4 linked regions of the Lepisosteus oculatus genome follow. The protein of the gene in region 1 purifies or fractionates together with the protein of each later gene. This does not show direct contact. Links are inferred from orthologs where the notes say so. Each region holds a gene or a part of one and is shown in the gene's direction. Other genes may lie near its edges.

Region 1 (7,952 bases):
CAAAATAACCACATTTTGGTACGTTTCAACAAAAAAATAAAATTAAAATGTTCATTTTCCTACCCACTCCCAGGAGTTCCACAGCTAAAGTAGTTCTTCCATTCGGTGAACTCAGGACGGATCGCCAATCCAGGAAATAGGAGGAAACTAGCAAAGTCTCACTTGATGTGTCCGTCTTGATAAGAACCATGTGAACGGGATCACTAACAGACAACATTGTTGTGGCATCTGCCATCTTACTGCCGTCACCTAGAAACAATTAAACAATTAACAACCTGAGACCCTTCAAGTAGTTAAAATACACAACCCTCTAGTTCTGGGTCAAACACGATGTGCCAAGCAGTGGCCTCTCTGTGCGTGCCATAAAGGTGGTTCTCATGATTTCAGAATTAGTGTGCCTGTCTCAGTAAGGCAGCAAATGTCAATCAAAGATTCAACCATGAAGACCCAGGAGCTTTCAAAACAACTCATGGATAAAGCAGTCTAAAGGCACTGATCTCGAGAAGGGTTTGAAAACATTTCAGAGACTCTTAATATCTCACTGACCGCTGCGACGTCAGTCTGTAAGAAGTGGTAAGCACCCAGACACTGCCTAAATCAGGTTGCCTCTCCAGCCCTGTAAAACACATTCCAGATCCCACAGGAGATACTGCAAACACGTGGCAAAAGGTTTGGCGGTCAGACATGACAAAACTGGACTTTTTTTAGTCTAAATGCAAAGCGTTGCATCTGACGCAAACCCTGTTATAAAGCAGCTGGATACAGCCGCAGGTGCTACTGGAATTAACCCCAAGTGCAGGAGAGCGACAGAAATGTCTGAAGAGACCTGACTGATTGAGAATTGAGCAAAGTACTGGAGAATTTGAGAAAAAAACCTGCTTTAGACTTACAATTTGGGCAAAATTTGTCCTTCAGCAAGACAATGATGCAACACATAAGGCAAAAACTGCACAGGAATAAGAAGGTGAATGTCCATAAGTGGCCCAATCAAAGTCCTGACTTGAATCCTATTGAGAATCTGTTATTTAAACATTTCTTTTTTAAACGTGATAAGTATCTTGAGAGAACATGAGCAAATCTGCCAAGAAAAACAGGCAAAAACTGCACTAAGCTGGTGTGTAAGGTACCGTAAGAACAGACCACAGCTACAGCCAATGGTGCTTCCTCCAAATATTGAGTTCATGAGCCTCCACTCAATTACTTTTGCTGACATTTACTACAACCTATCTTACCCTGAGCATTTAGCTCTTGAATAAAATATTAAACTTAAAAAATGTGGATCCATCACTTTGCATATCCGTTCTCATTTATACTGTACCTGTAGCCACACCCCTGCTCAAAAGATGATTGTCTTGAGCATCTATACGAGTATTGATTATCTGATGTGTTTCTAGTTATACTGTCTGCTGCTGTAAAATAAACTGGCGCTCAGGGATAATAAGGACTCTCGCTTGTGTAATGATGAACGAAGGTCCCAGTCTGTTGCTGCGGAAGACGGCTCTGACCTGGACCCTCTCTGTGGACTTCCAGCAGGAAGCCCTCCTGGAGATCTGGCTCACAGGCGCAGGGCACAGGCTTGGAGCGGAAACGCTGGTTCCTGAAGTGCAGGTACAGGGTGAATGTGGAGCACACCTGCCCAGGTAATGGCTCAGGCTCCTGGAGATGCTCCAGAAAAGCCTTTCCCCCAAGAACCTGCAGGTAAAGGTACCTTCTTGTTGGGTCAATGTTGGCTGGAAAAGAAATTAACCTCAATTAGGAGACGCCGATGGGCCATTAATGCGATTATGGAGTTAGAATTAGGCTCATTTTAAAGTAATCGATAAATAACAGTGACAAAAGGATTACTTCATGTTCACACTCAGTAAAAAAATCCCATTTCTACTTTTTAGTAAAGCAAGGAAGTACTGCACGATAGTTTTGTAGCACAAGCGAACCGTTAAACCAGTATTTTCGGAGTCAAAAAGCTAACACTAACGCATACCCTGAAGTAAATCAGACTGCCTATTGTAAGATTTTTTTTTTTGCCTTTATGTAATATGCCATTAAAATGGTAAATGGTAATTTCCAGTTCAGTTCTTCCAATTTAACTGAATGGACCAAACATTATTGCACTGCATATCGTTAAAAGTCTTTCTTACTTTTCTTGAGTTGTGCTGGCTCCTTGTCGACAAAATGTGTTGAGGGTTTAGGAGTAGAGATGGCCTCTCTGCTTGGCAATTCCTAATCCAGGCCACACACACAGAGGGAAGGGAAACAGACATCAGGAGATTTCTTCACGGGGGGAAAACATGTCACCCTTATACAGTATCATGTACTTAACAGCACACTTCCCAACAAATAAGTGTCCTTCCTTCATTATTAAGTAAGCCCTCCTTACTGTCCCCCAAGCCCGTCTACATTGTATGGGCGACAGGGCCTTCTCCTGCTATGCCCCCAAGCTCTGGAACTCTTTGCCCAAGGATATCCGAGAGTCAGCTTCTCTAAACTCCTTCAAATCCAGACTCAAAACCTTCTTCTTCAGAAAAGCCTTTACTTAACTGGTTCCATTCTTCACCCCTCTGCTCTTCTTAGTACCACCTTCCACGGTCTCCTCTATTGTTATTGTTGTAATTGTAATTGTGTCTTATCTTGTGAAATCTTCCTATTTATTGTTGTAGTCTTCTTATTTATTGTTATTGTCATCCTGTAAAGCGCTTTGAGAAGCCACCTTTAAAGGCGCTATATAAAATAAAGTTTATTATTATTATTATTATTATTATTATTATTATTATTATTATTGAAAACATAGATACAGAGTTAAAATGGAAACAACCGAAAACAGAGATAGTTTTCTGCGTCGGTAAGATACCGCGAGATAAACTGGATTGTAATCCTGATCTGAATCAAACACTCACCTGCACAAAGCTTAGGTCCTTCATGACATCATCGACGATCCCCCTTCGTTGCAAACCCCGTATTAAGTCCTCTTCCGAGAGATTGTGATGTCCAGAGCCCAGCTCCTCCCGCACGGTCTCAGCCAAGACATCCCGGATCTTCCCATGGATATCGATCTGCACATGCATCCATTAGATACATCCATTAGATACACCTCCTGGGAAAAACTTAGGTTGCTACTGGTAGAGGTGTTATTGGGGCCAGCAGACACTGCAGTCCATGTGGGTCCTAATGCCCCAGTATAGTGATGGGGACACTATACTGTAAACAGGTGCCGTCCTTCGGATGAGACGTAAAACCGAGGTCCGGACTCTCTGTGGTCATTAAAAATCCCTGGGCGTTTCTCGAAAAGAGTAGGGGTGTAATCCCGGCGTCCTGGCCAAATTTCCCATTGGCCCTTACCAATCATGGCCTCCTAATAATCCCCCTCTATGAATTGGCTTCATTACTCTCTGCTCTCCTCCCCACTAATAGCTGATGTGTGGTGAGCGTTCTGGTGCACTATGGCTGCCGTCGCATCATCCAGGTGGTGGAGGGGAGTCTCCATTACCTGTAAAAGCGCTTTGAGTGGAGTGTCCAGAAAAGTGCTATATAAGTGTAAGCAATTATTATTATTATTATTATTATTATTATTATTACTTCTTTATCCCAGAAAGGGTGAGAGTATTATGAATCAAACTACCCAGACATTGTGTTGTAGCCTGTACCCTGGCTTCAGGCAAGAAACGGCAATCAGCTACTAACATAAGAGGTGGATTGGACCAAAGGCCTTCTTTCATCTTCGCTGGAATCAAACTACCGTAGAAGATATGTGAATGATGAAAACAAAAATTGTTTACACTGTATCTTCAAATAAACGCCGCATACAGCTTGAACACGATCTTGATTAAAATTTTCACATTAAAATATGATTTCTCGTGGTACATACGCCCATTTTCTGAGTGCTAATACAGTAGCATGCGTTAAAGCTTAGTCGCACTGAACCTACAAGAAGCACAGTTCTGTACCAAGGCCTTCCCCAGTGGGTCTGCAGAGTGCGATGATGGTTATCTGATTATTTCGAAAAATGCTTGAGTTGATTTCAAATATTTTTTTTTAAGAACTGTAGGCCAAAGGAACTATTTAATGTTGGCAACTACAGAGTCCGGAATTTAAGAGATCAGACAACAATTCAGAACCGTGGACAGAGCACAGCAATCGGGCAACTAAAACCAGGAGGAAACCTTACCGACTGAATGCTCAACCTGAAGCCGAAAACATGACAGCAGGAACAGCTTAGAAAGACGGACTGTTACCTGTCACATTAGCTACCTGTACTTTCACTGAAGTGGCCCATAAGTATCTTCGAGTGCTACAACATTATTCCCGCAAACTTTAAGCTCCGGACTCGTTTCTTTGGAAAGTCTGGACGATGGGTTAAGATCATATTATTTCTCCAAAGCATGCAGGCGTCTCTGGTGAGACTAATACTGTACTCACCTTTGTCAAGTGGTTGTGAATGATCTGTTTCAGCTCAGAAGCCTTTTCTGGTGGAAGAGACATGCTCACAGAGGACGTCTACTGTATAGAAGTCCCAACGAACAAATCGTTACTTATTTAATTACGTGACTACTTTCACACTCCCCCTGCTTACTTAAATTGAAACTGGTCAAACTAAAAAAAAAGGGGGGCTGATTTCGCTTTCCAGGTTTTCGAAAGCAGCAGTCTGAACCGTCAAGCTCGTCTCCTCCCCACAACAACCAACGAGCAGACAGAACTTTCAAACCGTGGCGGAAAAGCCAGCGGGAAGCCATCCATTGTAGTGCCCGACTTAATCTTGCACAAAATAAAATGCAGCAAAGGGAAATAGCACACATATTACACCCAATTTATATATTTGTCCATACTTTTTAAAGATAATGACATTTTCGTTATATATTTTGTGTCTAACAAAAAGTCATTTTAGTTTTCATCAGGCACCATATAAGTCCACCCTCAACGTAACAGACTCCAAGCGAGCGTCATGTCAAGGAAGGACCCTGGAAGTAGCATGGAGTTGTAGTGAAACGGAAAGTTGTCATTCTGTACACATTAGTACAGTTAAAAATCATTTTACCGAATTGTCTATTTTTCTTACTCGCAAACATGTTTATTCCGGTTGGGTGCTCAGCGCCCTCTTTCAAAGAGTTTACCCTTATAATGGTAAGTTAGACGTTTTACATTATGCTTAATGTTGTTTTTTTCTAGTTGTTAATTTACATGTTAAAAAAGGGCTTATATATTTTTCCGTTCCTTTACTTTGCTGTTATCCTGTGGTTGATTGTAGCCGGCGGTATCGGTGGGAAACGTGGGACAGTTTGCAACAGACCTGGTCATTTCTACCCTTCACATGCCTCGAGTGGGCTATTTCCACAGTGACTGTCTAGTACCCATGGTAGGAAATAATCCCTATGCCACATCGCCAGAAGATTCATCTGAACTCAGTACAAATGCCGAAGGTTAGTATGTGGACGGATTCTGCTCATCAAAGATACGTATATGCATCAACGCGTCTGGATGCAACGAAGTTTAGATTTTTTAGATAGCCCGTACCAAACTGACACAGCTTGTCTTGAATGTGTGGTAGTTTTGTTGTAGTTCTCAAACTCTTGTAAATAACCGATCTGCTGTGTACTATAGCAGGTTCAGGCTATGTAGTGATTTAAGATCATCCTTAAAATGCATAATAATTTGCATCTATAAATTATTATTGCATCTTTAAGTGTTGTAGATTTAAATCAATACGTTTATTGAAATAATATGTGAATTTCATGCTGGACGTACATGTAGTCCACCAAAAGAACGTTCAGTATTCATCTGAACTCACACTTACAGTGGATATTCTTTTTCTGATACAGGCCAGAACATAAGCTTTTCTAGAGAAAACCAGCAAATAATTCACGCTCACGTTTATTCACTGTCAGTTTCTACTTGTGTCCTCTTGTTTATTCTAAAGAAGACCACTGGGTTGACTTTGTCAGTGCCTTTGAGAATGTTTAAAACTTGGTTCAGGTCCCCTTGTAGTCTTCTGTGTTCAAGATGAAAAAGGTTCAGTGCGTGTAGCCTGTTCGTATAGGATATTCCATTCAGTCCCTGAATGTCTGGTGGTTCTTTGCTGGACTGATGAAAGAACAACAAATGATTTTTTATGATGTAGTGACCAAAATTGTATGTAACATTCTGACAATTCAAGTGCTGTGCCTCTTTCCATATAAGTCTGCACATTCTGTGTTACAGATGTATTTAGTACTGTATATAGATTTAATGATAAAAAGTTACATCCAAAGAAATGTCAGTGGCATTTTCTGTTTTTGTCTGTGCACAGTGTACTCTTTGCCTGACTTAAAGCTGGCTGTCCTTCAGATCCGGGCTCCCATCATACAGGTAAGAAGCTATGGACCAGAGGCTAAGTAGGCTGATTAGATGAATTAATTAGACTAATTAAGTCATTAAGGGTAATTAACCTGTCTAAGAAGGTAGACGGAGTAATTAACTCCACCACAAGTAGGACTACTATATTTGTGTAGAGCCCCACCGAAGTGTAGTGAATGTTCAAGAAGAAAAGTACATAAACCTATAATCGCACATTCAGTGCTAGTGAAGTCGCATTCATTATATCACTTTTATTGTATACTTCTGCAGCTTTGTTGGCTTTCATAATAAGTGTATTATAATAAGTTACAATGGTCCATTCCTTTGAGTTTAAATTATGGGTAGTAAAAAAGCTAGTTCAGGTGGGTAGCTGCGTCAGATGCGTAGGCTGCAAAGGAACAAGTAATAGGTTTATTCCATGCTGGAAAAAAAGAAGAAAGAGAACACAACGTTTCGGCCGTGGAGCCTTCTTCAGGTGTGTGACCTTGGTGTGTGACCAAGCCCAGACCTGAAGAAGGCTCCACGGCCGAAACGTTGTGTTCTCTTTCTTCTTTTTTTTCAGCATGGAATAAACCTCTATTACTTGTAAAAAAGCTAGTCTGTCATTTTGTTAGTACAGCTTTTCTGTGACCATTCAACTTACAGGAATAGGTCTAATCGTTTCTTTCTTGCCTTATTAGACGAAATACAGGCAGTTTCGGAAACGTGTTGTCTCCTGGATCAAGACAAACAAATTCTCCAAAGTTGTCCTCCTGTCTAGCTGTCATGCTCATCATCGGGATGACCGTCAGCTCCTCAGGTGAGAGACCTCTCATCTTTAATCTTCGGTTTTATGTCATTTTGTCTTTCTCTTCTCTGTGATGAATGTAGTATTTCACATTGATGGCTCTTTGACCCAGTAGATAAAAACAAGTGGCTAGCAGATTTACTGCTGATTCTGTGTGGTCTTTCAGCAGCACAATGTTGAGGGGAATAAGAATAAAGAATAAAGCAGACAGGCAGAAGCTTTAGTTCGTTTAAACCTTTTCTTCCCGATGTTCTGGATGGACAATTATCCTGCGCAAAGTACCTTTAACCTATACCTTTAACGCAAAGTAGCATTACATTAGTTGAATTGTTGTGTAGTAATGTGTGGTATGAGCAATGTTCCCTCTGAGCTGTGGGCGGGTAAGCGCACGCACAGGTTACGAGATCAGCACACATAGGAAATTGAACTGCGCACAAAACATCAAATAAAAAAAAATGATGATAATAAAACAAACACGGTCGTCAATTGGAAAATGCTAAATTGACCACATGGGACTGGCTGAGAGAGGCCCACCTTGGCTGTGTGCATTATTACTGCTCCTCGATCATCGATATCTACGCTCTTGAAGTCTCCTTCCTCACTGCTCGTGCTCGCTCCACACTCAGCCTCTATAACTGGGCTCGTTGAATCGCTGTCCTGGTCTTTTGGATCTCTATGCTTATATGAGGTTGACTATATTGACAAAAAAGAAATATTCCGTCCTCTGCTTCCAGCACTCCTCTGCGCTATTTGCTCACTCCTGCCCTGCAGAGCGTTGTCGGAGATGGACTGCAGAAGCTGGACTGGAAAGAGATGGAGAAGGTGTCGGCTTTTCCGGGGA
Region 2 (7,588 bases), on another chromosome or scaffold:
GCTGTCTTGTATCTGCTGAGTTGTTTGTAGATTATGCAAATTATAGCATACTTTCATTTTGTGATTCACTTCTTCTAAATGAAGAATCCTAAGATATATAAACTTTCAGACAACAAGACAGTTACACTGTAGAAATGAGAAGTGGACGGCCTTTTGACTGCCAGAACACCTTGAATGGAAAACTCAAGATCCAGCTTGAACATTGTCCATGTTTTCTTTTCTCCATACCATCACTTCCAGATGCCTTCCTTTCACATGAAACATATCCAATATACTTTGTTTTGGTAACTGTGAAATCATTTTTTGGACTGTTTGTGTATGTCTTGAATCACTGAGAAGAACGACTGACTTCCTTAATAGTTCATATTGATGTGAAGAATGTGTCAATTTAAAATCTGAAGCCAGATCACTGTCGTTAGAACAGGTTTTACAGGAGTCTGTCTGATCTAAATCCTCATAGCACTTTCAGAGAGATTCAAGATAATTAAACCTTTTTGTTTCCTGCCTTTCTTCCTTGTGTATATCATTGGTGTTGACAAATTCATTTATTAATGCGAGGGGGGTAAAATATCAAATTAAATGCACTTTTCTTGACATTTTGGCATATGTCACTAATATTGTTTGTTTACTGGCAGTTTGATAATGCTAGTTTTGTGTTTATATAGTATGTAATGTTGCAAAAGTAGTAAATGAAATCGCTCATCACTGCACATTGTTTAAAAAACAAATAATATGCAGTGTCAGTTACTGTTACCTCAGAGTTTTGTCTGTGCCATCCGGATAACCTTCAGCTAGGCCCATATCTGGCATGTTGTTCGATATTCCTTAACGGGCGAGACTGCCAAAGCTGCCCCCCTATCTAAAAGTACTTTGACATGGCCTTGCAGAATAAGCTTTACCAGTTGGAATTCTTTTTTTCCCCAAGACACGTGTGTTATTCTGAGTTTTTAGAAGTGTGAGTAACTGTTTATGCTGTCCTCTGCAGTTCCAGGTTCTGCTCTGTGATAATCAGTCCCACTGGAAAGTGATGAACCACGTCACCAGTAGTTGCTGCTCCTCAGACACCATTGTTTTAATCGGTTCACGTGGGTTGTGTGTTTCTGAACTATTTTGGGAAGTTGGGGTTTAGTCTTGCTTTCTGGGTTTTATTCAGTACGTCAGTCAAGTCAAGCTCTTAAACCAGCAGCACATCACCCTGCAACTCACAACTGGCAACCCACTGAAGCTCAGCAGGTGTGAGCCTGGTCAGTACCTGGATGGGAGACCTCCTGGGAAAAACTAAGGCTGCTGCTGGAAGAGGTGTTAGTGGGGCCAGCAGGGGCCGCTCACCCTGCGGTCCATGTGGGTCTTAATGCCCCAGTATAGTGATGGGGACGCTATACTGTAAACAGGCGCCATCCTTGGATGAGGTGTAAAACTGAGGTCCTGACTGTCTGTGGTCATTAAAAAAAACCCAGGGTGTTTCTCGAAAAGAGTAGGGGTGTAACCCCGGCGTCCTGGCCACATTTCCCATTGGCCTTTACTAGTCATGGCCTCCTAATAATCCCCATCTCTGAACTGGCTTCATCACTCTGCTCTCCTCCCCACTGACCTGTAAAACGCTTTGAGTGGAGTGTCCAGAAAAGCGCTATATAAGTGTAAGCAATTATTATTATTTTATTATTATTATTAAATGAATTCTGCCTTCAATGTGGCAGTGCTGCCGCATTTCATTGCTCTTGTGGTCACAGTTTACTGGTACAGTTTTATATTTCTCTAGCGACGTTGTACAGAAAAGACCATGAAAGTGCAGTAACTTTTAGACGTAGCCATGAACTTAGAATTCTGTATGTGTGGCGTGGTGCTTTACTTACAGTAGTCTCTGGGGTTTGCCAAAGCGGATTTTGACAGCAGTCTCCTTGGTCTAGTTTCAGAACCGCATGTATACAGCACAAGCCTATCAGGAGTACTTATTAAAATAAGTATTGTACAAAATGTATTAAATATGTAACTATTAACTGTTGCTGATAATGTAAATACATTTTAATAAAGACTGAAATGCAATTATTTCTGTATTGTAAATATTTTTCTTTTTTTTTTATTTGGTAGTGTAGTATCAGTGGATCTTCGTTACTTAATTAAATTGAACTGCTTATTACCTTGCAATCATTTTAATCTGGCTGATACCGTTTATAAAATTATTATATAATTGCTTGCCAGAAGAAACGCTGAAATGGATATTACATTTGCTAAATTCTGCCCTTATCAGCTGTCTTGCATGAAAGCAAAAGAATTAAGTTCTGCTCTGGATTGCATCCATGTATCAGTGTGAGTTAACCCATCCTACTTTCAGAGAGAAAGGAACTGTCCTCAATATTTTTTCTGTTTCAGTATATGTGCAGTTATTTGTATCTGCTGCATACAAATGAATGAATGGTTTTATAATGGTCTTGTACAGCGTTAATTCTGGATGCTGGTGGATGGTGGATGCTGCACATTAGTGGTGGTGGCGGGGATCCCCATTACCTGTATAGCGCTTTGAGTGTAGTGTCCAGAAAAGCGCTCTGTAAGTGTAAGCAATTATTATTATTATTATTATTATTATTATTATTATTATTATTATTATTATTATATCTAGACTTACATGGTTATAATGTTGACAGGTTGCAAGTATCTTATACTTGCATGCATAAAGTACATATTATATATATAGATGTGTTCATCTCAAAGGATCCCAAACTGCTTTACACACAAAAGGGAGCTCATTTCTATGATGTGCCATTATGTATCAGCGACCGCACTGCACAGCAGATCAGGAGAAGTGCGAAATGAAGTGGGAATTTTTAAGAAGGTGAGGGGTTGATACTCATACTCTTTCAAGACATGGCATGGGATCTTTAATGACTTTTATGATGATGATCATTTTTTTTTTATTAATAATTTAACGACCTGAGATTTTTCAAGGCCAGCAGCCATATCACCCCACAGATTACATCTGGCAGCCCCACTGAAGCTCAGCAGGTGTGAGCCTGGTCAGTACCTGGATGGGAGACCTCCTGGGAAAAACTAAGGCTGCTGCTGGAAAAGGTGTTAGTAGGGCCAGTAGGGGGCGCTCACCCTGCTATCTGTGTGGGTCCTAATGCCCCAGTATGGTGATGGGGACACTGTACTGTAAACAGGTGCCATTCTTCAGATGAGATGTAAAACTGAGGTCCTGACTCTCTGTGGTCATTTAAAATCCAAGGGTGTTTCCCTGGCGTCCTGGCCAAATTTCCCATTGGCCCTTACCAATCATGGCCTCCTAATAATCCCCCTCTATGAATTGGCTTCATCACTCTGCTCTCCTCCCCACTAATAGATGATGTGTGGGGAGTGTACTGGTGCACTATGGCTGCTGTTGCATCATCCAGGTGGGGCTGCACACTGGTGTTGGTGGAGGGGATCCCCATTACCTGTCAAACGCTTTGAGTGGAGTGTCCAGAAAAGTGCTATATAAGTGAAAGCAATTATTATTAATTTTAATGACCACAGAGAGTACAGACCTCGGTTTTTCATCTCATCTAAAGGATGGCTCCCCTTTTTTACAGTATAATGTTCCTATTAGCTACACTGGGCCATTACGACAACACAGACCGCTGGTTGAGTTCTCCCTACTGGTCCTACTAGCACCTCTTCCAGCAGCACCCTTGGTTTTCCCAAGAACCAGGAGGCCTCCCATCCAGGTTCTGGCCAGGGTTTAAGGTCTTGTCTATAAAATGGCACCTTCTACAGTGCACTGTCTCCCATTTACCACGCTGGGGAGTTTGTGTGGGATTTCTGGTCAGGATGGGAAGAGTGCATGTACTGGTCCACCAACACCACCTGCAACAGTAAACTGGATTTACCTGAAGTTCTCCCCATTCCTCCCAGTACTGACCTGGCCCAGTCTTGCTTAGCATCTAATGAGTTAAGGGTAAATAGTGGTAATGAAAGCAAAAGGCACTTTGTGTGAAGAAAGATGAATATCTGCCAGCGTTTTTGCTGTATCAAAGCCAATTTCCTGGTTTTATTAAAACATTCATGAGCTTCCACCTATCAAATGAGCAAGGTGGTCTAAATCAATTCTGCTAATCTTCTTTGCGTATTGTTTACTGAACTGTGCGTTGCAAATAAATTTAGACATAGAGTTAGAGAAATACAATGCAGTTTGCAAACAATATTTTTAATAAATACCCTAACACTGACATAAAAAATAAAGAGACATTGGAATTAAAGGGATACCGGCAGCTATATCACATTGCAACTCAACTGGCGGTCCACTGAAGCTCAGCAGGTGTGAGCCTGGCCAGTACCTGGATGGGAGACCTCCTGGGAAAAACTAAGGCTGCTGCTGGAAGAGGTGTTAGTGGGGCCAGCAGGGGGCGCTCACCCTGCGGTCTGTGTGGGTCCTATGTCCCACTATAGTGACGGGGACACCAAACTTAAAAAGGTGCCATCCCTCAGTAGTGGTTGTACGAACTGCTGGTTTAATTGCGTTTTCTTGTTTTTTCATAGTTTGCGTTGAATCATCCACGCTACTAGGGGGCGCCAAAATAAAACTTGGCTCACAAGTTATGGAAAGTGCGCTCTTTTTATTTTTGGATGAGTCGGTGTTTCATTTCAGGTAGTCCCCGGCAACATTCTGACTGAGCAGCATTTGTAAGATATAAAATATAAAATTACATTTACTTTTAAAACGGATTAGCTTTTTTAAACGCAATTTGCTTTGGGCGCTTAGATCGTATTACGAGACTGTATGGCTCATTACGCTTGTTTTCAGAAACCTTAGTAGTTTTATGTTTTTGGCCTACGTGAATGATGCTCTGTAGTTCCTGCTTCATCATGCTGGCAAAGTCTAGTGTGCTGTAACTTGTGTAAATGTAGCTTATTGTTTTTCATGATTTTGCCTCTTTGTTTCAGAAGAGAGTCAGATTCTAATGTGACTGTATTTGTAAACTTAGTATGTTTGATATATTTCAGTTTTTTAATGTGTTCTCCTGGTATTGGAAACCACTTTGTCATTATGGGTTAGCTCCTGTTGGTTTCGTTTTCTTTAGCTTTGACGATATGCGATGATTTGCAAGCAATATAAACATGTTACACGTTTTTCAGTCCACTGTACTGCAGATTTTCTATTTTTGGAGGATAAGGACAAGTTTTACTGTTGACTAGACAGTGTGTTGCGCCTGAATGGTTGTGCATATTGTTAGTATAACTGGAATGTTTTCATGGTACCCTTGACTGCTGAAGACTAATACATTAATAAATATTGATTTGTGTTAATAACCATTTTTTGTATAGACCATGAATACTCTAATTGGGCTTAAATGTGTATTAAATCCCAACTGTGCGAAGCTTTTATTATCGTATAATCAACATTGAAGCAGGTTTAATCAGCTCAGACAAATTTTTAAAAACTAAGCTCCTTTATTTGTCATGGTTTCTGCTACTGGTTGCTTCTTCACAGTTTCCAAACGACTTTTGTTCATGCTTATTAAAACAGATCTAATGTCTGTATTTTTTTTTTTGTGTGTGCAGATTTTACGTGACAAGTCCTTGTCAGGATGGTAAGTACACTGCTGTAAAGTGTGCCTGTAACAAGCTTAATTCGTCCTAATGTGTTCAAAACACTTTGGAATGTTGTTTTTAAAGAGATAATTTGCTTATAATGAGACTGGGTAGTCTAACTGGGACTTCAACTTTAGGTTCTGGGAAAGTTACAAATTAAAGCATAGCAGGTAATAAGATAATGGTTATTAATGTTGTTGTTGTTTTTAGTCTCGCAGATATGACTCTCGGACAACTATTTTCTCACCAGAAGGCAAGTATTTGTTTTTCTGTGAGGTTTGCTGTCTTTGTAGTTTAATTATTATTAATATGAAGACCACCGAAACTTTTTTGAAATATGTAGCCGAATGATACTGATGTGTGGAAACAGCTGTTACTTTTATTGTTTCTCTTTTCATTTTGCCTTTTAACTTTGAGCAGATGTGAAGGAGTTATAAAGAGAAGCATGTTACAAACCAGTCTGTTAAATTACGTGGCTTTTTTTGTGTTTACCATTGTGTCTTCCACAAACCAACGTTGACCATTTTAAACTAATGGGAAACAGAGTTTCCTCAATTTTCAGTTTGTAGTTGGATTGTCTTTCAAGTCTCCACATCTCCCTGCCTGATGAGCTGTGATTTTGTGGCAGGCCGTCTGTACCAGGTGGAGTATGCCATGGAAGCGATTGGGCACGCTGGCACTTGCCTTGGGATTTTGGCCAATGATGGTGTGTTGTTGGCTGCAGAGAGGCGAAACATTCACAAACTTCTAGATGAAGTGTTCTTCTCAGAGAAGATCTACAAGCTGAATGAGTGAGTTTTTTGTTTATTGTCTTTACCCAGAAAAATCTTGTTTACATGAATTCTTTGTATTCAGGTTTTACTACATTGTTGTAGTTTCTGTCTACAAAACATGTTAAGCCCTTAAAAAATGTATTTGTAACAGAGGATTTATTTTAGAACCTAAGTTTTTCACATTTCTATGTACTGGAGTTTTTTCCAAGTGCTTGTTTGAAATGCAAGTGCTTGTATAGACAATTGCTTAGCAATCACACAGTCTGTCAAGTGAACAAGTCCCTTATAACCCCCCTTATCAGGTTTAAGAGCATTGTTGGTTTAATCTAATAAAACGTTTTTCTTATACGTTGCCCAGTTTGAGATTGCCAGTTGTTTTTTTAACTTAGCTGTCTGGTAACAGCTCCTGTACTCATACGGGATAAAATTAGACTAGCAGATAAGGTCCTCTCTCACCTGCAAATGATGTTGTCATTTTGACACACTACAGACTCCACACCAGATTCGAATGGAAGAAATGCTTCTTGTTTTCTGTCCTAAATACACTCGTGCTTACTTGTATTTATATTCTTTGGTCTTGGCTTTCTTGCTTGGATTGGCATAGTAAGATTTTCTTAGAGTCTGTAAGCATCAGTGATCTCCGGAGAGACTCCTGTTACTTGTTGAAGTGGATCTCTTAACCTTTCTATTTTTATCATAGGCAGGTGGATATGGTTGCAATTTTTTGTTCTGTTTCTGAAACAATATTTACATAAATGTCATTCATTTCATTTTCTGTAAACTATTGTATTAATAGTTGCGTCGAGTAGTATAAAGAGACTTGGGAGCGATTGACTACTTTTCCGATTGCATTTTCTATTTCAAAGAAAAATTACATAAAAAATTACCTTTAAAGAACTGACGGATTGTTGAAAAAGTCAGATTTGAAGTTCCTTACACAACCTTAAAAGCTTATCCCCATGGTTGTCTTTTGCAGAGATATGGCGTGCAGTGTGGCTGGGATAACATCAGATGCCAACGTTCTGACCAATGAGCTGAGGCTAATAGCACAAAGGTAAGCTGATAAAATGTTAATGAGCTTTGTGGGTTGGTCTGTATCAGCTGTATTTTCCTCATTATTTGCTTAATGATGTGTTCCATGTCTTGCAATATACAGTATATTTGGGTGGTTCTTTCATTTACACCTGGGGTATAAATTACTGTCTTCTGTCAGGTATTTGCTGCAGTACCAGGAACCAATCCCTTGTGAA
Region 3 (7,279 bases), on another chromosome or scaffold:
TCCCCATTAGGTGGATATACATTAGCTAGCATTACAGGAGAATGGTGCAGTTTGCCTGACACAACAACAAAACAGCCATCCTTATCTGAAATAACATCGGAAGGCATAAATGGCATAACATTTACTGTAGCAAGCCAAATCACCATTCAGGGATACTCAAATTCACTCTCCACCACCGATCATTTGATATGATTTATAATCTTAGGCCACGTGACATACTGACTTTCTATTCATGTTAGGAGCTCTCTAAAGATAAAAAGCACAAACTGAAAATATATTTCAGGGAATACATTATGCTTTCATAAATCCTGGAAGAGATGAATGCTCTGAAAACATTGCTATGTTGAGGTTCAGTTCAGTTTAAATGAAACTGGTGATTCACCCCTTAAAAGGTCAGTAGCTGTGACCCAGTATTGCACAGCAATACTTGAGAGCAGGAGATGAAAAGACACATGAATGCTCTCGATCCATCGCTCCTTCTGAGTTTGTGTAGGATGATAAAGACTTCTATATGAGCCTGATAGAGGACACATAAAGGTGTCTGAGAAGTCAAATGTGAAAGATTGTAGAAAGACGCTATTAGAACTATATTATAATTTTAAAAATATCACATGTAAGATTATGAAAACAAAAGGATCATCTAAACGGTAGCAGCAGTCTAGTGGACAGTCAGCATGATTTCTGAAAAAGCATGTGCTGGAAGTAGGCTTTCAAAGATATAAATAACACCACAGACAGGACAATAATGCTCAGAGTGAGATGACGTCATTAGTTATTAATGTAACTGTTAGGACCACTGCTATGTCTAATTTATATTAAAAACTGGGATTCTAATACAGTTAGTAAGGTTCTCAGGTTTGGAGACAATATCAAAATAGGAATGTTATCAAGTACCATAGTAAATTTAAAAGGATTTGCACAAAAAATCAAGACAGATCAAATGCTTGGATGAAGTACTAAATATACTAGAAGAAGAAGTTAATATGCACAATGCTACATGGAGGCTGAAAAAAAACAAACCAATGTAAGATGAGAATAACTGAACCAGAAGAAGTTACTCATGAGGTAGGCTTGGAGGCTTATTTTACCTTCATTTACATCTTTTATACAATTAAGCAAATGTAAATTAAACTGCAAAAAGTGCTATTACAAAGGCTAACATGTCGAGATGGCTAAGATATCAAGACGTCTCAAAATGTTTTACATTGGAGGTACAGTAACAAATTAGATGCTGGGAGTTTCTCAACATCTGGATGGAACAGGATAGGTTGCTAAAGGCATCCAATTTTTCAGTTTGGCACCAATGCTGTCTTGTCACTACTGAGCCGCAAGAAATATTGTCACATCCAGGTTTTAATACTTGATGAGCAGCTAGCAAAGGCAGTGACAACTAGATCTGTGTCTTGTGATTGCATGAGCAAAAGTGTTGAAGGCAGAAATGCGATTGAGCAGAACTAGCAGGGCCAATGTACCCAAGTCTGAGGGCACAAGGAGGTCATTAGCCACCTTCACCAGAGATGTACTGTACCAGTGGTGTGAAACTGACAGAAGCCTGAATGAAAAGGTCTGGAGAGCTTGTTTCTCATTAAATGATCTTGCAGTTGGGAAATTGCCACTTGCTGTAGGGCATTGGCTAGGAAGGGAAGATTTAAATGGCAGGTAAGATTCAAGGGTCTCTTCAGTACAGGTGTAAGTCCAACAGGTTTAAGTGAAGATGGCAAAATACCCAGATACAATTTGTTGATCATCACTGTGATAATGGGGCCAAAGACTAAAAACCTGGTACACAGTGAGCTAAGAAAGGGATCAAGATAACAGAATTTATATAGACAGAATTAGACAGAACTTTACCACAAAATTACTCTCAGTCAGTGAGGAGGGTAATTTGTGATTGCTGTTGATTTGAATTGGCAATAAACTTGATTTTTTATATTGTTTACTTTTATACTTTATCACTCCCCCATTATGTCATAATCTATTTTTACTTTTATAATACTGTATGTATACTGAGAAAAAAAATGCATCATTTATTGCCTCTCTTGTAAGAATCTTTTCCATCTCCCTCTTTGGCAATTTTACTCCACCTTTACCAGTTGTTCTCTTTTTTTACCTTAGAAAATGGTCATGATTTCCCAATAGTTCTATCACTTTTTCTTTAATTGTTTCCTGGTCCTTTGAAAATTAAAGTCAATACAAGTCCCCTAGATAGTGCTTTTAAAAAACATGTTAAGAATTCAATAACAATTTCAACCATATTAACATAATAGAACATTATGTTCACTGCAGATCTTGCTGATCTCATCATACTTGCACTGATGTGTGCATTAGGAGGTTTGCTTTTTACATCTAGTGTTGTCCTTTGACAATGGCTGGAAAAATAAGATATTTTTGAAGTTTTAGTTGAAGTTTGTGGTGTTGCAGCTCTCTATACCAAAATACCCACTGGTAACTACACAAGGCATAAAATAACACTGCACTGCCGCACTGTCATACAGTGCAATCCATGTCACGGAAATGGCACTTAAAACAACTAAAGCAGTGAACATGCACCCAACTCTAGTAATAATTGTATGCACCATAACCCTTTTGTGGCACATTCTGTAGATTTAAGGCACTTGGAAGATGACCAGCGAAAAGCTGTCAAACAAGTGTTATATGAAGAGCCTACAGTTTTTGCCCATGAAAAGGATGACATAGGTTGTGTTCTGAGCTTACAGATGGGAATTACTTTAAAAGATGACTGTGACAGGCAGTCAGCATGAGTCAGCGCCTAAGAGGAACCAGCTGTCAGCCACTGTGCTCCTTATACCTCCTCCCTGTTTGAGCTCCTTGCCCCTGGATGGAGCAGCTAGGTGAGGTGGAAGGGGAGAGGGCTCCATGCACCAGAGCTCTGCGGGAGAGACGGAGTGAGAAAGAGACAGAGGATCTGGTTGTCAGACAGACTGTCGGTCCGAGATGATCTGAAATAATCTACCGTTTTCTTTTTTGCTTTGGAGTAAAAGAAACCTGAAGCTCCTATTTATTTTGAAACCTGAACTAGTGCCATTGCTTTTATCTACTCTGAGACAATGACATCCCTGTTCAGAGAACCCAAGTACTGTATAAGTGCCACAACTACACTACCGAGTGCTGAGACAATACATTCAAGACCCGTTGGCCAGAAGATGGATAGTAAAGTCAAAACCTTTTTACTCATCCCCAGTAGAGTGTGTCCATAAGAAGGATTGGACTTTATGGCTATATGTCAATTACAGGCTACGTCAATACCCGACAGCCAGACCAACACCCACTGCCACAGATCCAAGACCTGACAGATCTTTCGGATGGTTCTCACGTGTTGATCAGCGCAAGGCTTACCACCAAGGATTCCAGGAAAGGGATCTTGACATCTGACAGCACTGACTACGCCTTGGGGGTTATAGGAGTGGGTGCAAATCCCTCTGGGGCTAAACAATGCACCTGCAGCCATGCAGCGAGCGGAACTCTACCACACCAATACACAAGACTACCCAAGGATTGCCAAGCCAGTCTAGGAATTATTCCAGGATGGCTAGCACGAGAGGAACATCCTCAAAAGCTTTTCCAAAAGGAAGTACAGTAGGCCCTGCTGTCATCCAGGACTCATTAAATGGACTGAAGGGCACAAGAGTATACTTCTGAGACTAATATATCTGTTCACTGGTCCCCAGCTGGTATCCCAGCTTCAACTTACAATTCATACGGCACACCAATGTATTTAAAAGGACTTGGAGCAGTACTTTATCACTGTGACAGGGTGCCTGTTTTTTTCAAATGAATGTTAAATACTCCAAGGCCTTTCCATTATGTTTGTAATTGTGTATGTGATAAGTACGAAGTGTGAATGGTACATACCCCCCACCCCTTTCCCTCAGATCACTGAAGTGTTCTCCATTGTGTTGTGTTGTGTTGTATTGGGCCACCCTTCACCTGTTTGCGGTTGGTTCCCAGACTGCCACACCAGCAGTACTCAAAAAAAATTGTTGATCTTAAAGGGAAAGGTTACTGGGAAGTCATCCATAATCAACTGATGTGTGTCTCTTTTCCTTGCTTAAACAAATTAAAACCCTCACGTGACTTGGTTAAAGTTTGTAAGCTGGCAACAGTTTGTAAGTTATCTTTGGAACTATATTAAATTATTTTATTTGTTTACCAATGGTCCACCACTATAAGAAATACGAGTAAGTCCCTTTAAGGGGGGGTGGCCCATGGAAGGAGGAGCTATAAAGGGACTGGGGGCACGCAGCAGGTGGATGGTCTCTTGGAGGGAAGGTGTGCTGAGAGGAGCCTCTGTGAGTTTTGGATTCTATTTGATCCTAGTTTGAAGGAAATTAATCCAGGTTTGCCTGCACTGGAGGACTGCTGTTTGTTAATTAAATCAAACCCAGTTGCTTGCTTGGTGACAATCAGGCACAGAATGGGGAAAATGAGGCCCACTGAGTCTTGAACACTACCACTGGCTGAAAGGAGCTCCATGCAGAAAAGCTTGAATTTCTGTAAACAGTCTAATGCCATTCTGTACTCTACACATGGTTGGGCCTCTTTCACTTGTTTTGTTTAAAGCATTAACTGGCAATCAGAATTATCTGACTCCTACACCATCTGTGTACTGCCTGTTTTCATTAAGTATGCTTAAAGTAAAGCTTTCTAGCTTGTGGGCTTTTATCCCCATTATTAAAACAGTGGTGCCTTCTTTTTCAGCTTGTAGCAGATTTCACAGTGGTGAGGTCCTGCCATGTCAAAAGACATGAATTCTGAAAAAATACACTGACAAGGCAAGGTGGGAAACTGCCTGTGACCTTCTTTGTATTGGTTCCAATATTTATTTTTTGCTAATTAATGTGAGATTTATATTTTAAATTTGAAGTGAAAGGCCCTGAATGTGAAAATGCTTGCAGTGCTGTGGGTTTTCACTAGGGGCCTCAGTAATGTGCATGTGTTTGACATGTTTCATGTGGATACCCCAAGTGAGCTGTCTGGTCCTCTGGTTAATCTGTGCCTTCATGGACAACCTTTATATTAAAGTAATTCTATTAATGATTGGGTGTTTAAATTCTATAGTTATATTCAACTATTGCTGATGTTTTAAAAATGAATAAGAAATTGTTCCACCCTGTGCCTCCCTAAGGATTGCTGCATTTAATCTGGTCAGCATAAATATTTAAACAAGATGGTCTTTTTTTGTAGATGTAAAACAGCTTAAGCTATTTCTATCACAAGTACTAAAAGCTGTTGCTGGTTTGTGCTTTACTACAGGGGAAACAAATTTAGCAAAACTAGATTTGCATTAAAGCAGTTTCATCCATATTTTTAAGTTAACAGAAATTGATTCATGTAATAAGACTTAAACGTTTTTTTGAAGCTATGGTATTTAGTCGCGCTTTGTCATTTAAAAACCGTCTTTTTCTTTAAGTCGGAGAAAAAATGTTTTCGGCTCACATTGTATAGTTATAAAAATATTATACTTTTTAGCGGAACTGTGGCAAGATGTGCTGATAAATATTTATAATAAGTGTTGCAACACTTATAGAGAACGTAAACCACCTCTAGGATGTTTTAAGTTGAGGAGAAAGTCGCAATATTTAATTATAATAAAGTAACAGGTTGATAAACAGTTTCTGTTCTGCGCTTGTGCGCTGTTTCCCACATGTGGTAGTGACTTGCACCGGAGCAGAAGTCTTTTCAGTTTTTTTCAGCTCCCCTGACCGTGTGTATATTTCAAGATTTCCGTAGGATTGTTTTGCATACATTTGGCCGAACGTAAGCAGAAGGTAAGATGCGGTTTTTGTACCTTAAAATTCTCACGAACCCTTAATCGAGCCTGGCTGTAGAATCCTTCGTGGCCCGCTGCACTGGGAGTTGGTGGAAGCCCCGAGCTCTCGTAGTTCACTCGCCGAGCGAAGTGCGGTGTCGGCAGGATCGAACTGGTTTCGGTAGCGCTGTTAACTGCGAGCCGTCCAAGCAGGAACGCTGGAAAGGTAATTCCATATTTCCTTAAAATGCGATATGGACACTGATTTTTCAAATAAAATGCATTTTAGAATATTTAAGAAACCCCAGTGTAAGTGTTGGGTATAAAATACCGTCAAAAACATCTTTTTCCAGTTTGGGGCAAAAGGATTAACCGATTTTAATTGAAGGTCGAGCTTAAAGGATATTTATCGAAAGTGTAAATATAGAAACCTAAGCTTGTGATTTGTTCCTTGCACAATCTTTTTCTTTAAAAACTTTAGTTTAAATTTTAGATTCCTTACCGTCGTCTAGAGTTTGACATTTAAGTATCGTCTTTTCCGCAGAAATTAAGTGAACAGCAGTAATAAACCCATCAATATGTATGGACTTAAAACTTATACTTGAGTTAACAAGACAAACGGGATACCAAAAATTAACCTGAGTGTTTAGTCCTGTAAGTCATGAATGATGTGTATATAATCTTTAAAATGGGTTAAAACCATTTTTAACTGATTTGATTCTTCGAGAACTGCTGAAGAGCATTAAGTTGTTTCCGTCAAAACCTTCAAACTTCTGTATCATTTAAAGGGGAACCAAGGCCATTTTATACATTTTGGGGTTGGAAAGAATCAGCAGGGATGAGTGCATTTCAAACCTGAACGAAAGTAAGAGGTGTACACACAGGAACTTGTAAAACCACCAATTTACACCACAAAATTGACGAAATTTCCAAGGGTGCGCAGCACCCTATTCTGCGAGTCAACAAAACTTCGGGTGACCTGATGCAGCCTTGTTGCATCTTATTGCGCCTCCTTAATCCAATGGACATATTGCTCTCGACTTCGGGGTGGTTAACTCACTTGTTTACTCTGCAAGCAGATCAGGTTGGGAACGTGCGCGGCGAGTGAGCTTCTGCACAACCTGCACTTAATTCATCGCAGGGCATCAGTCATCCTGACGAGCGAGCGGACAGGGCCGTACCGCGTCACGGCTCTCGCCCGTGGCGTGACCAGGGGTTTGCCACACCAAGGGGACTCACGATTGTGCTTAATTTGGGTTTTGTCATTTTTTTTACACCGTTCATTTATTTTGTTACCAACATTTTAATAACCAGTTTGAGAAATTGGGCCTGCGGTCCCTCTTTAATTCCTTTGTTCTCACCATTTGTTTTTTAAATCTCTTTTATACACTTCCCTATAAAAGAGATGCTCGGGTAGGCTTGAACTGCTGTATGAAATAGTGGAATGTGTCATTGAGCGTGAAGTTATCATGGTCCATTTTATTTTTCAGACCTATCCAGAAGGTGACT
Region 4 (7,720 bases), on another chromosome or scaffold:
GACAAAGGGATAGCTCTACCCTGGAATCTGGGGAGAGAATAATAATAAAAATTACTTACACTGGGGTAACACCCCTACTCTTTTTTAGACAATTTTTAATGACCACAGAGAGTCAGGACCTCGGTTTTACATCTGAACTGAAGGACAGCACCTTTTAACAGTATAGTGTCCCCATCACTATACTGGGGCATTAGGACCCACACAGACTGCAGGGTGAGCGCCCCCTTCTGGCCCCACTAACACCTCTTCTAGCAGCAACCTTAGCTTTCCCAGGAGTCTCCCATCCAGGTACTGGCCAGGCTCACACTGCTGAGCTCCTGTGAGCTGCCAGTGGTGAGTTGCAGGGTGATATGGCTGCTGGCCAGTTTCTGACCAGTTTCTGGCCATTATAACAGCACACTTAGAACTCCTTGTCTATAAAAATAAAATGTTTGCTTTAGTCTTTATTTGTGGCAAGGTTTCACTGTGACCTCTAACAGTTCGACCCCTCACACTTTCAGATGAATGCAAAACGTGGGGTTGCTGTTCTTTTGTGTTCAGGATTCGTTTTTTACCCCCCTTTTCAGACAAAATTTCCTCCAAGCATCTACTACAAGATATTCACGCACCGCCCGATAGTGGACATGTGCGCCAACAGCCCCAAGGACTACACCTGCCCCGCAGCCAGGCGGCCCCTGCCGGGGCAAATCCACAACCGCGGGCGGGCTGCGGGGCAGGAGGACCGCTCGGGCTGGTACCGGCGGGAGGAGAACAACGGCTGGAGGCTCCTCTCGGGCAAGGTGCGGCGGGGCCCTCCCGCGGGGCCGCACTGCTGAGCCAGGCCTGCGGGGGGCGCTCTCCCCCTGCGCCTGCGTCCACCCGGCCACGCGCCCGCTCACGGGCCGTTCAGAGACCAGAGCACCTGGCGGACATGTAAACCACACCCAAGGGGCCAAAATTCATCCCTGAACTCAAGACCCCCTCTTCTCTTCGTATTAGTCTGCTAGAGTGCGCTACATCATGGTCCTCATTAGTGTGATTACTGAATTTGCACTTTGTATAGATCCAGGCACATATTTGTCCACTGCATGGGACATGACATTCTCGGCAAAAACAAGAATAACAGAATCTGGAAATACTCAGAGCAGGTCCTATTATTGTATACACTTGCAAAGGAATAACCCCTTTTTTTCTGTGAAGTTCCGACCACTTATTAATCCCTTCGATCGATTTTGGTTTTTTGCTTGTTTCTTTGTTCAAAAATGAAGTTGCGTTATGTAACTTATTTCCTTTTTCACGAAGGTGTGATACGCTGCTCTTGTGTTTCTGTCCGTTGCTGTTATAAGATTTGGTTAATGGGCGACCCCGTAACACTGGACTCTGCCGCGAAGAAAACGGAATTCCATTACTCCAGGATCCAGAGGCGCCAGGAAGTAGGGAGAAGGAGGAAGCAGAGGAAAATTGACTGGATGAAAAAGATGTGAGTTTATTATTGACTAGGTCAAATTCAGGGGGTGAGTTTTATTACTCCCCAGGTGCCAGGAGTAAACCTTGCCGTGGCTCCACATAAACATTCTAGAGGTTTGAGAAATTGCCCTGCATTAGCAGAAGGCGCTGCTGGCTGATGAGTGGCATCTGTGTGCACTGCCCAGGTATGAAGACGGCCTCCTGCAGGCCCGCACAGAGGACCCTGACGCGGCTCTGCTCGTGGACAAGGCCGCAGAGGGCATGATGGCGGCGGTGGATCAGCTGGGGCCCAGCCACGTGCTGGAGTGGGAAGTGGACGAGCTGCTGGAGTGGACCAACTCCCTCAACTTCGAAGAGTGAGTCGCCGCCGTGCAGACGCACAGGCCCGCCTCCCTGGCGGTCAGGTCAGCCGTATTGTCAAGTGTCCTGCCCTCGTGTGCTGCCACAGAAGGTCCTGGTACATGTCAGTCAAAATGCCAGTTTAGTGCTGCAATTACATGAATATATCAAATCAAGTCAGTTCCAAGTCCCACCCCTTTTCCCAATTTGAACACAAGAAACTCTCTTGCTGTACGGATTTGAAGCATATCAAACAGCACTCCTGCGTCGCTTGATTAAATATAATTATATTATGATATAAATCTATTATATATATTTCAAACATGCTCTATGCGAACCACCTTTGCCTTTCTCTCTACATCTCTGTCTCCTTTTCTTTCTCTGTCATATACACACAATCGACTTTCAGTAGAAACGTCTTGCTCTTTTGAACACTTAGAGTTAAACATGGACCACATGTTTTGGAATACCTGCTGAAAAGCAGCAGTAGAATGTACAGTATTTATAAATGCAATGGAAGTGTTGTACTAAATTAATGAGACCCATGGGAAAAACTTTGCTCTTAGTTTAGTCTTCTTTTCTGTATTTCAGGTACATGAATGGATGGAAGGAAACAGCAATGAGTGGTTTTTCAGAGTCCTATAAAGGTAAAAAAGAGAACTTATGATGAAGAAGATTACTGGAGAAAAATACCCGTGTGCACTGACACACACAATGATAGACATGAAAAACACACATTCCTGATAACATACTTCTGAGTTTTAGATAGTGTAGAATAAAGTTTACCAGATTTGTAATTACTTGTCTTTCTCCTTTTTGTGATTAAACATTTGGAAGGATTACTACACTGGTGGTTGTCTCCCATGCTGGAAACTAGTTGTTAAACATTATTTTTATATAATATATTATATGTATATATTATTTTTATATGATTGTTGTATGATCATTTGACCATTATTGTGTTTTACAAACACAAGACTTTGGAAAGCTATCATTTGGGAGTTCAGTTTCTTCTCGTTCAAAACTATTTCTGTTCTTTTCAAGTCATAATTTTTTAATGTTTGAAGACCAAATATTGAACTCAAACACTTTCTTTCTATAACAACAATTTATAGTTTTAATTAATTTAGAAAACTGAAGATTTAGAACTTTAGAAAACTGATGTGATACAATGAGAAGAAAGCAGACTGCAGACTGAATTCAGTGTCTAGTACTCTGTATAAGTACTGTAGTTAAAATTAAAGTCCATCCCAGAGACACATCAGCTCCTCGGGATAAAGTTCATCCTGGTTTCTGCAGCATTAAGCAGACTAGCGAGCATGTGACTCCCCTTGCAGGGGATGCCAGTCCATCACAGGGAGCGTCCTGCATGCTGCTCCCCACATAATACATGTTGGACTGAATAATACATAATAAATTGAGTTGGACTGAAGCAGCCGGGGTAAAGAACCTCTATCTGGGGCAGGGGCTGAGTCCGGGGGGTAACCCACTACGATTTGCCACCCCTGTCAAATTCAAAAGAAATACTTTAAATAAATCACTTGTCAGAGCTGCGGTGAGAAAGCTCTGCTTTGTAGTTGAAACCACATGGAGTTCTAAGCAAAAGACATTTTCCGTGCAGGACTGCGTGGGAGTTGCTATGTTATGCTGTGTTACAGCCCTTTCTGCTGCCAGCGCTTTGACACGGTGGCCTGTCTCTGTTACAGGTTCGAGGCTCGTCGTCTCCCAGCACGACCAGTGCGAGTTCACGCGGTTCTCCCGGGAGGGCAGTCAGGCAGCCGCCGACTGCAGCGCCCTCACCTGTCACGTCTCCAGCCAGTACCAGTCTTACAGCACCCCCCTGCTCTCCAGGGCTAGCATGGCAGAGCACGGCTCCCACAGCAGACAGATAAAGCAGCTGCCACTTTAGACAGACAGGAGTGGAGTGTCCAGTGTGCACCGAAGTACAGCGCTCTCCCGTTAGGAGGCCATGACAGCTTTCCCCTGCTTACTCATGTTTCGGTTCGTGCCAGAAAACTGATGGTGTTCTGATGGTGAAAACTGAAGGGCTCTGGCTCTTCATCAGGGTAAATATTTAACGTGATTAATCTGTTCCTTCAGGGTACTATTTTCAACAAGATATATCAATGGTAACGAAGGTCTGAAAATGTAGTACACGTTCATATGACCTGTCCCTGTTTTAAATGAAAATTATTTTCCCCCATGTTTGAATTCTCAATATTTTACACGCGTTGCCCCAAGACACTGTCATTTTCCATGCTGATTCCTAATAAAGCTGTATGTGGAGCTTTTTTGTGTCTTATGTCTGTGGATCCTCTGTTTCACTGAGGCCGGCTGACTCTAGGGTCTGTTTCTCAGTAAACTAGACGTACATCAAGGCATCAGCAGTCTGCAGCCTGCTCCCTGGCACCTCCAGAATGAGTAAGAACTGGGAACACCCCTGTGCTCTGTGCTGGATGCTGAGATGTGTCAAATGTATGAGTCAGTGCTAGTATTATATGGGTGTCGTCCTAAACTAGAATAAAAAACTGGATTGACAGTACACAGTTGTGTTTATACAGGTTCATGTAAAACCAAAAAAGCACTTCAATTATGATCCCTTCTATTTTAATAATAATAATAATAATAATAATGTAAAAAGATGGTGTTTTTGAATTTTACACAAAAAAAAGAGGGGGCACCCGGATTTGAACCGGGGACCTCTTGATCTGCAGTCAAATGCTCTACCACTGAGCTATACCCCCTGTCTGCGAAACGCCTGCCGATGGCCTATACAAATCAACTGTGTGTATCGCCGTTTTCTAATGTAATTTTAAAAATTGTAATATTAGAACTATGTGTTGCCCGCAAGTACTTAATGAAAGCAAAGTTAAACTTAATTGTTTCTAAGCTGATAGATGAAGATTTCTATCTTCGTTTCGGACTTTTCAGAGCTGCCATCAGCGGAAGCATCGTCATTTGTCACGTGTGAGGGGTACCGGTGAGCCGGAAGTACTCGGTGTGGGGTCATTAGGAAGAAAGAAGCCGCCGGATCAGTATGGTGAGATGAGTTTTTATTTAAAAATCTCTTGTTATAGGGAACGTGTGATTTACATGTTGCTCTTAAGCCAAGATACTTTTAACGGATTTTGTCAGCGTTACACTGAAGCTGACGTGATTGTACAAGAGGTTCATTTAGCTGAGTTTTGATTAGTCACTGCTCTCCGCGAGTTCAGTTGTTCACGTCAAAATATGTCTCGGGCCTTGTTTATTCCCGTGCGTTGCTGAATTAACAGGCACTAATGTGGTATCTACTCATCAGTCTTAAAGATTTGTTGGTTACCAACGTGACAATCAAGCGTACTTTGTGAATACACGGAGCGACGCGAAACTGAAAGTGCTCTGGTCCTGATTTGCAGTATCATTGCTCTTGGGACACTGGTTATCCGACTGTCGCGGTAAAATGCCCAAATCCTGTCGGTGATCTTGACTCCCTGCAGGAGTCACTTTAACCCTGGGGTCGCTCTGGAGTGGTGAGGTTACTGTCCATCACCCGGGCGGGTGAACTGAGTCCTCTCATTCCTACACAACAAGTACATGGGATGAATAGGGTCATTGTTCATCATTACTGTCACATCACAGGCTTTCACACTGGGAGAGTTCTGGACAGGTATATAAATTCAAGGATTTATTAATAATTGGATTTGGGGTGAAATGCATTGCTTACACACCTGAGCGGTCTCTGAGATTCTCCATTTGAGAACCATTGTGATCAAGGTCAGTCTGCGGTTGATCTTTTAACGGGCGATGTCGTGTTGTGGGACAGTAGACTAAGCTGCCCCACAGTTCTTTGACAGTCCCTGCCAAGCGCTGCTCATGGGGGCACTGCTGTATTTCAGAATACTAGAGGTCTTCGATCACAGCTGAAGGACAGCATCCCCGTCACAGGGCTGTGTCCGCAGTCGGGAACCTATGGCGTACCTGACACACTGCGCAAGGGGTGAGTGACCGCTCCGTATCTCACTCGCGGTCTGGATCTTCGTGGTTCCTCTCTCAGACTCAGACCGACATGTCCCTTCCTTCCCATCGCTGGATTTGACTTCTTCATGAACGGGAAAAACATTCTTGCTTGTTCTTTTTAAAATGAAACCCATCCCATCATGGTCTGAAGAAAGAGCCTGTTGACTGCCCCACGAGTCGTTAATTGTGACTGCAGCTTTACAGGATAAAAATGTGAGCTGTTTCTTATGGCGTAGAATCAGTACTTCATTTATTTTTGAGGAGGAACTTTAATTAATTGGATTACGTCATTACAGAGCTAGGCCATAACATGTATGAATAAACTAGAAGTTGCAACGGTGTTTTTAGCAAATAGATTTTGATAGAGTCTGAAGTTTTCTGTCCTTGTCACTGGCTTTCAGCTTCTCCAGCGTGAAGAACGAACTCCTGCCCTCCCACCCCCTGGAGCTCTCCGAGAAGAACGTAAGTGTTTCAGCTGGTATGTGCACTGGTAACCGAGAAGTTTTACATTTAAGCACCATTTTACTGAAGTTGATTCTTAAAGTGGATGGCAGACCGATAATATAAAATATATATAATCATATTTTGTCAGCTTTACAATCCTGATTTAGCCCTTGGTGCTTTTCCTAAAATAGCCATAGTTCCCGTGTCTTTCGGGTTGTCATGTTGTAATAAACTACAGCTCTATGAAGTGCTACTATGTCAGACATTGCATTTAACATCGCTGCTTCGTTTCTGCTAGTTTCAGCTCAATCAAGACAAGATGAACTTTGCCACGCTCAGGAACATTCAGGGACTTCATGCACCTCTGAAACTGCAGATGGAGTACAAGGCAGCAAAACAGGTACCCTCTCACCAGCTGTCTTGAAGGGGGGTATGTTTTAGAACACATATGTTTAAGAAGCTCAGTCCAAAATTCACTTGGTTAAGTTAATAACCATACTAAAGGTGAACATCAGAATCTGCCTTTGCAAAATGTCATCCTTTGAAGTCAAGTGGAGATTAGTGATAAATGACATTATGCTTTTTTTTCTGTCACACTTTCAAAAGCTGTTTGTATCTATTGTACCCATAACAATATCCTGCATGCTGTGCTTTTCCAGATACAGCGTTTGCCCTTCCTTCAGAGTTCAAACATTGCACTAGATACTCTCAGAGGAAATGACGAGTACGTTGGTTTTGAGGACATATTGAACGGTAAGTATTCAGAACTCCCTACAGCAGTTTGAAGGATGGCGTTGGGTCATTAAACATTAACAGTTCCTGGAAGCTGAACCCCCATTTTACTCCAGGCAATGTTTCCTTTTTTCTGTAAACAGAAACCACCAGGGGTACACAGGGGACCATTGTGTGTGGACAGCTGGGCTTAGATTGATATTGAGAATCACTCTCCAACGGCTTTTATTTCAACTTGGTGTTTTTTTTATTCGCAGATCCAGCACAAAGTGAAGTCATGGGGGAGCCCCATGTCATGGTGGAATACAAAACGGGTTTGCTGTAAAAAAATTCACGTTACTCTGTGTGATTGTTTGACATAAGACAAATGTGCTTCTTTTTGCTATATTCTAACCATACAGGACAAAGTATTTTGCATGGTTAGAATCAAATTATCGTTTAAAGATTTCTAATAAAGCTTTGTTTGCTCTCTTTATTTAGTATTTTGGGTGTCAGACTTTGATTTCATTAACAGTATGCTTTTTTCAGTTAAAATGATCATGGACGTAAGGCTGTGCCACTTGTATAGCATGTTGGTATTGTCTGGTGAAAGATAGTATATAAAGGCATGAGTTGAACTTACCTCTGCAATGTTTAATACCAGTTTGGATGCCTTCAGGATTTCTGCCAAATACTTAATGTTGTTAAATCTAAAGCACATTAAACCTTTGAATACGTTTGTTTCCATGAACACACAAGGAAGACAAAACAGTGAAAAGAT

Evidence for each region.
Region 2: the proteins of psmg2 (region 1) and psma4 purify together in Homo sapiens (affinity purification with mass spectrometry; 4 studies listed by BioGRID and IntAct, with this or other methods). This does not show direct contact. The link is inferred for Lepisosteus oculatus from reciprocal best matches to the Homo sapiens genes PSMG2 and PSMA4.
Region 3: the proteins of psmg2 (region 1) and psmg3 purify together in Homo sapiens (affinity purification with mass spectrometry; 4 studies listed by BioGRID and IntAct, counting the BioPlex papers as one, with this or other methods). This does not show direct contact. The link is inferred for Lepisosteus oculatus from reciprocal best matches to the Homo sapiens genes PSMG2 and PSMG3.
Region 4: the proteins of psmg2 (region 1) and pomp purify together in Homo sapiens (co-immunoprecipitation; 6 studies listed by BioGRID and IntAct, counting the BioPlex papers as one, with this or other methods). This does not show direct contact. The link is inferred for Lepisosteus oculatus from reciprocal best matches to the Homo sapiens genes PSMG2 and POMP.

Annotation. Positions count from the first base shown.
Region 1 is NC_090705.1:9,334,495-9,342,446, forward strand, and holds the start of psmg2 (proteasome assembly chaperone 2), read left to right. Parts: upstream 1-4,939; 5' UTR 4,940-5,058; coding exon 5,059-5,115; intron 5,116-5,239; coding exon 5,240-5,411; intron 5,412-6,277; coding exon 6,278-6,336; intron 6,337-7,004; coding exon 7,005-7,123; intron 7,124-7,845; coding exon 7,846-7,952. Other genes in the region: cep76 (centrosomal protein of 76 kDa), read right to left, coding at 64-249, 1,506-1,730, 2,139-2,220, 2,895-3,050, 4,414-4,476. UniProt on the Homo sapiens protein: Chaperone protein which promotes assembly of the 20S proteasome as part of a heterodimer with PSMG1.
Region 2 is NC_090700.1:60,551,294-60,558,881, reverse strand, and holds the start of psma4 (proteasome subunit alpha type-4), read left to right. Parts: upstream 1-4,585; 5' UTR 4,586-4,656; exon of another isoform or gene 4,657-4,670; intron 4,671-5,535; 5' UTR 5,536-5,561; coding exon 5,562-5,564; intron 5,565-5,775; coding exon 5,776-5,818; intron 5,819-6,193; coding exon 6,194-6,356; intron 6,357-7,314; coding exon 7,315-7,392; intron 7,393-7,551; coding exon 7,552-7,588. UniProt on the Homo sapiens protein: Component of the 20S core proteasome complex involved in the proteolytic degradation of most intracellular proteins. This complex plays numerous essential roles within the cell by associating with different regulatory particles.
Region 3 is NC_090714.1:1,335,835-1,343,113, reverse strand, and holds the start of psmg3 (proteasome assembly chaperone 3), read left to right. Parts: upstream 1-4,278; 5' UTR 4,279-4,310; intron 4,311-4,719; exon of another isoform or gene 4,720-4,798; intron 4,799-5,704; 5' UTR 5,705-5,789; intron 5,790-7,260; 5' UTR 7,261-7,279. UniProt on the Homo sapiens protein: Chaperone protein which promotes assembly of the 20S proteasome. May cooperate with PSMG1-PSMG2 heterodimers to orchestrate the correct assembly of proteasomes.
Region 4 is NC_090700.1:1,688,838-1,696,557, reverse strand, and holds pomp (proteasome maturation protein), read left to right. Parts: upstream 1-4,717; 5' UTR 4,718-4,822; coding exon 4,823-4,825; intron 4,826-5,663; coding exon 5,664-5,764; intron 5,765-6,185; coding exon 6,186-6,246; intron 6,247-6,526; coding exon 6,527-6,628; intron 6,629-6,887; coding exon 6,888-6,981; intron 6,982-7,217; coding exon 7,218-7,285; 3' UTR 7,286-7,442; downstream 7,443-7,720. Other genes in the region: c5h11orf65 (protein MFI), read left to right, coding at 567-779, 1,326-1,459, 1,632-1,802, 2,377-2,432, 3,492-3,694. UniProt on the Homo sapiens protein: Molecular chaperone essential for the assembly of standard proteasomes and immunoproteasomes. Degraded after completion of proteasome maturation. Mediates the association of 20S preproteasome with the endoplasmic reticulum.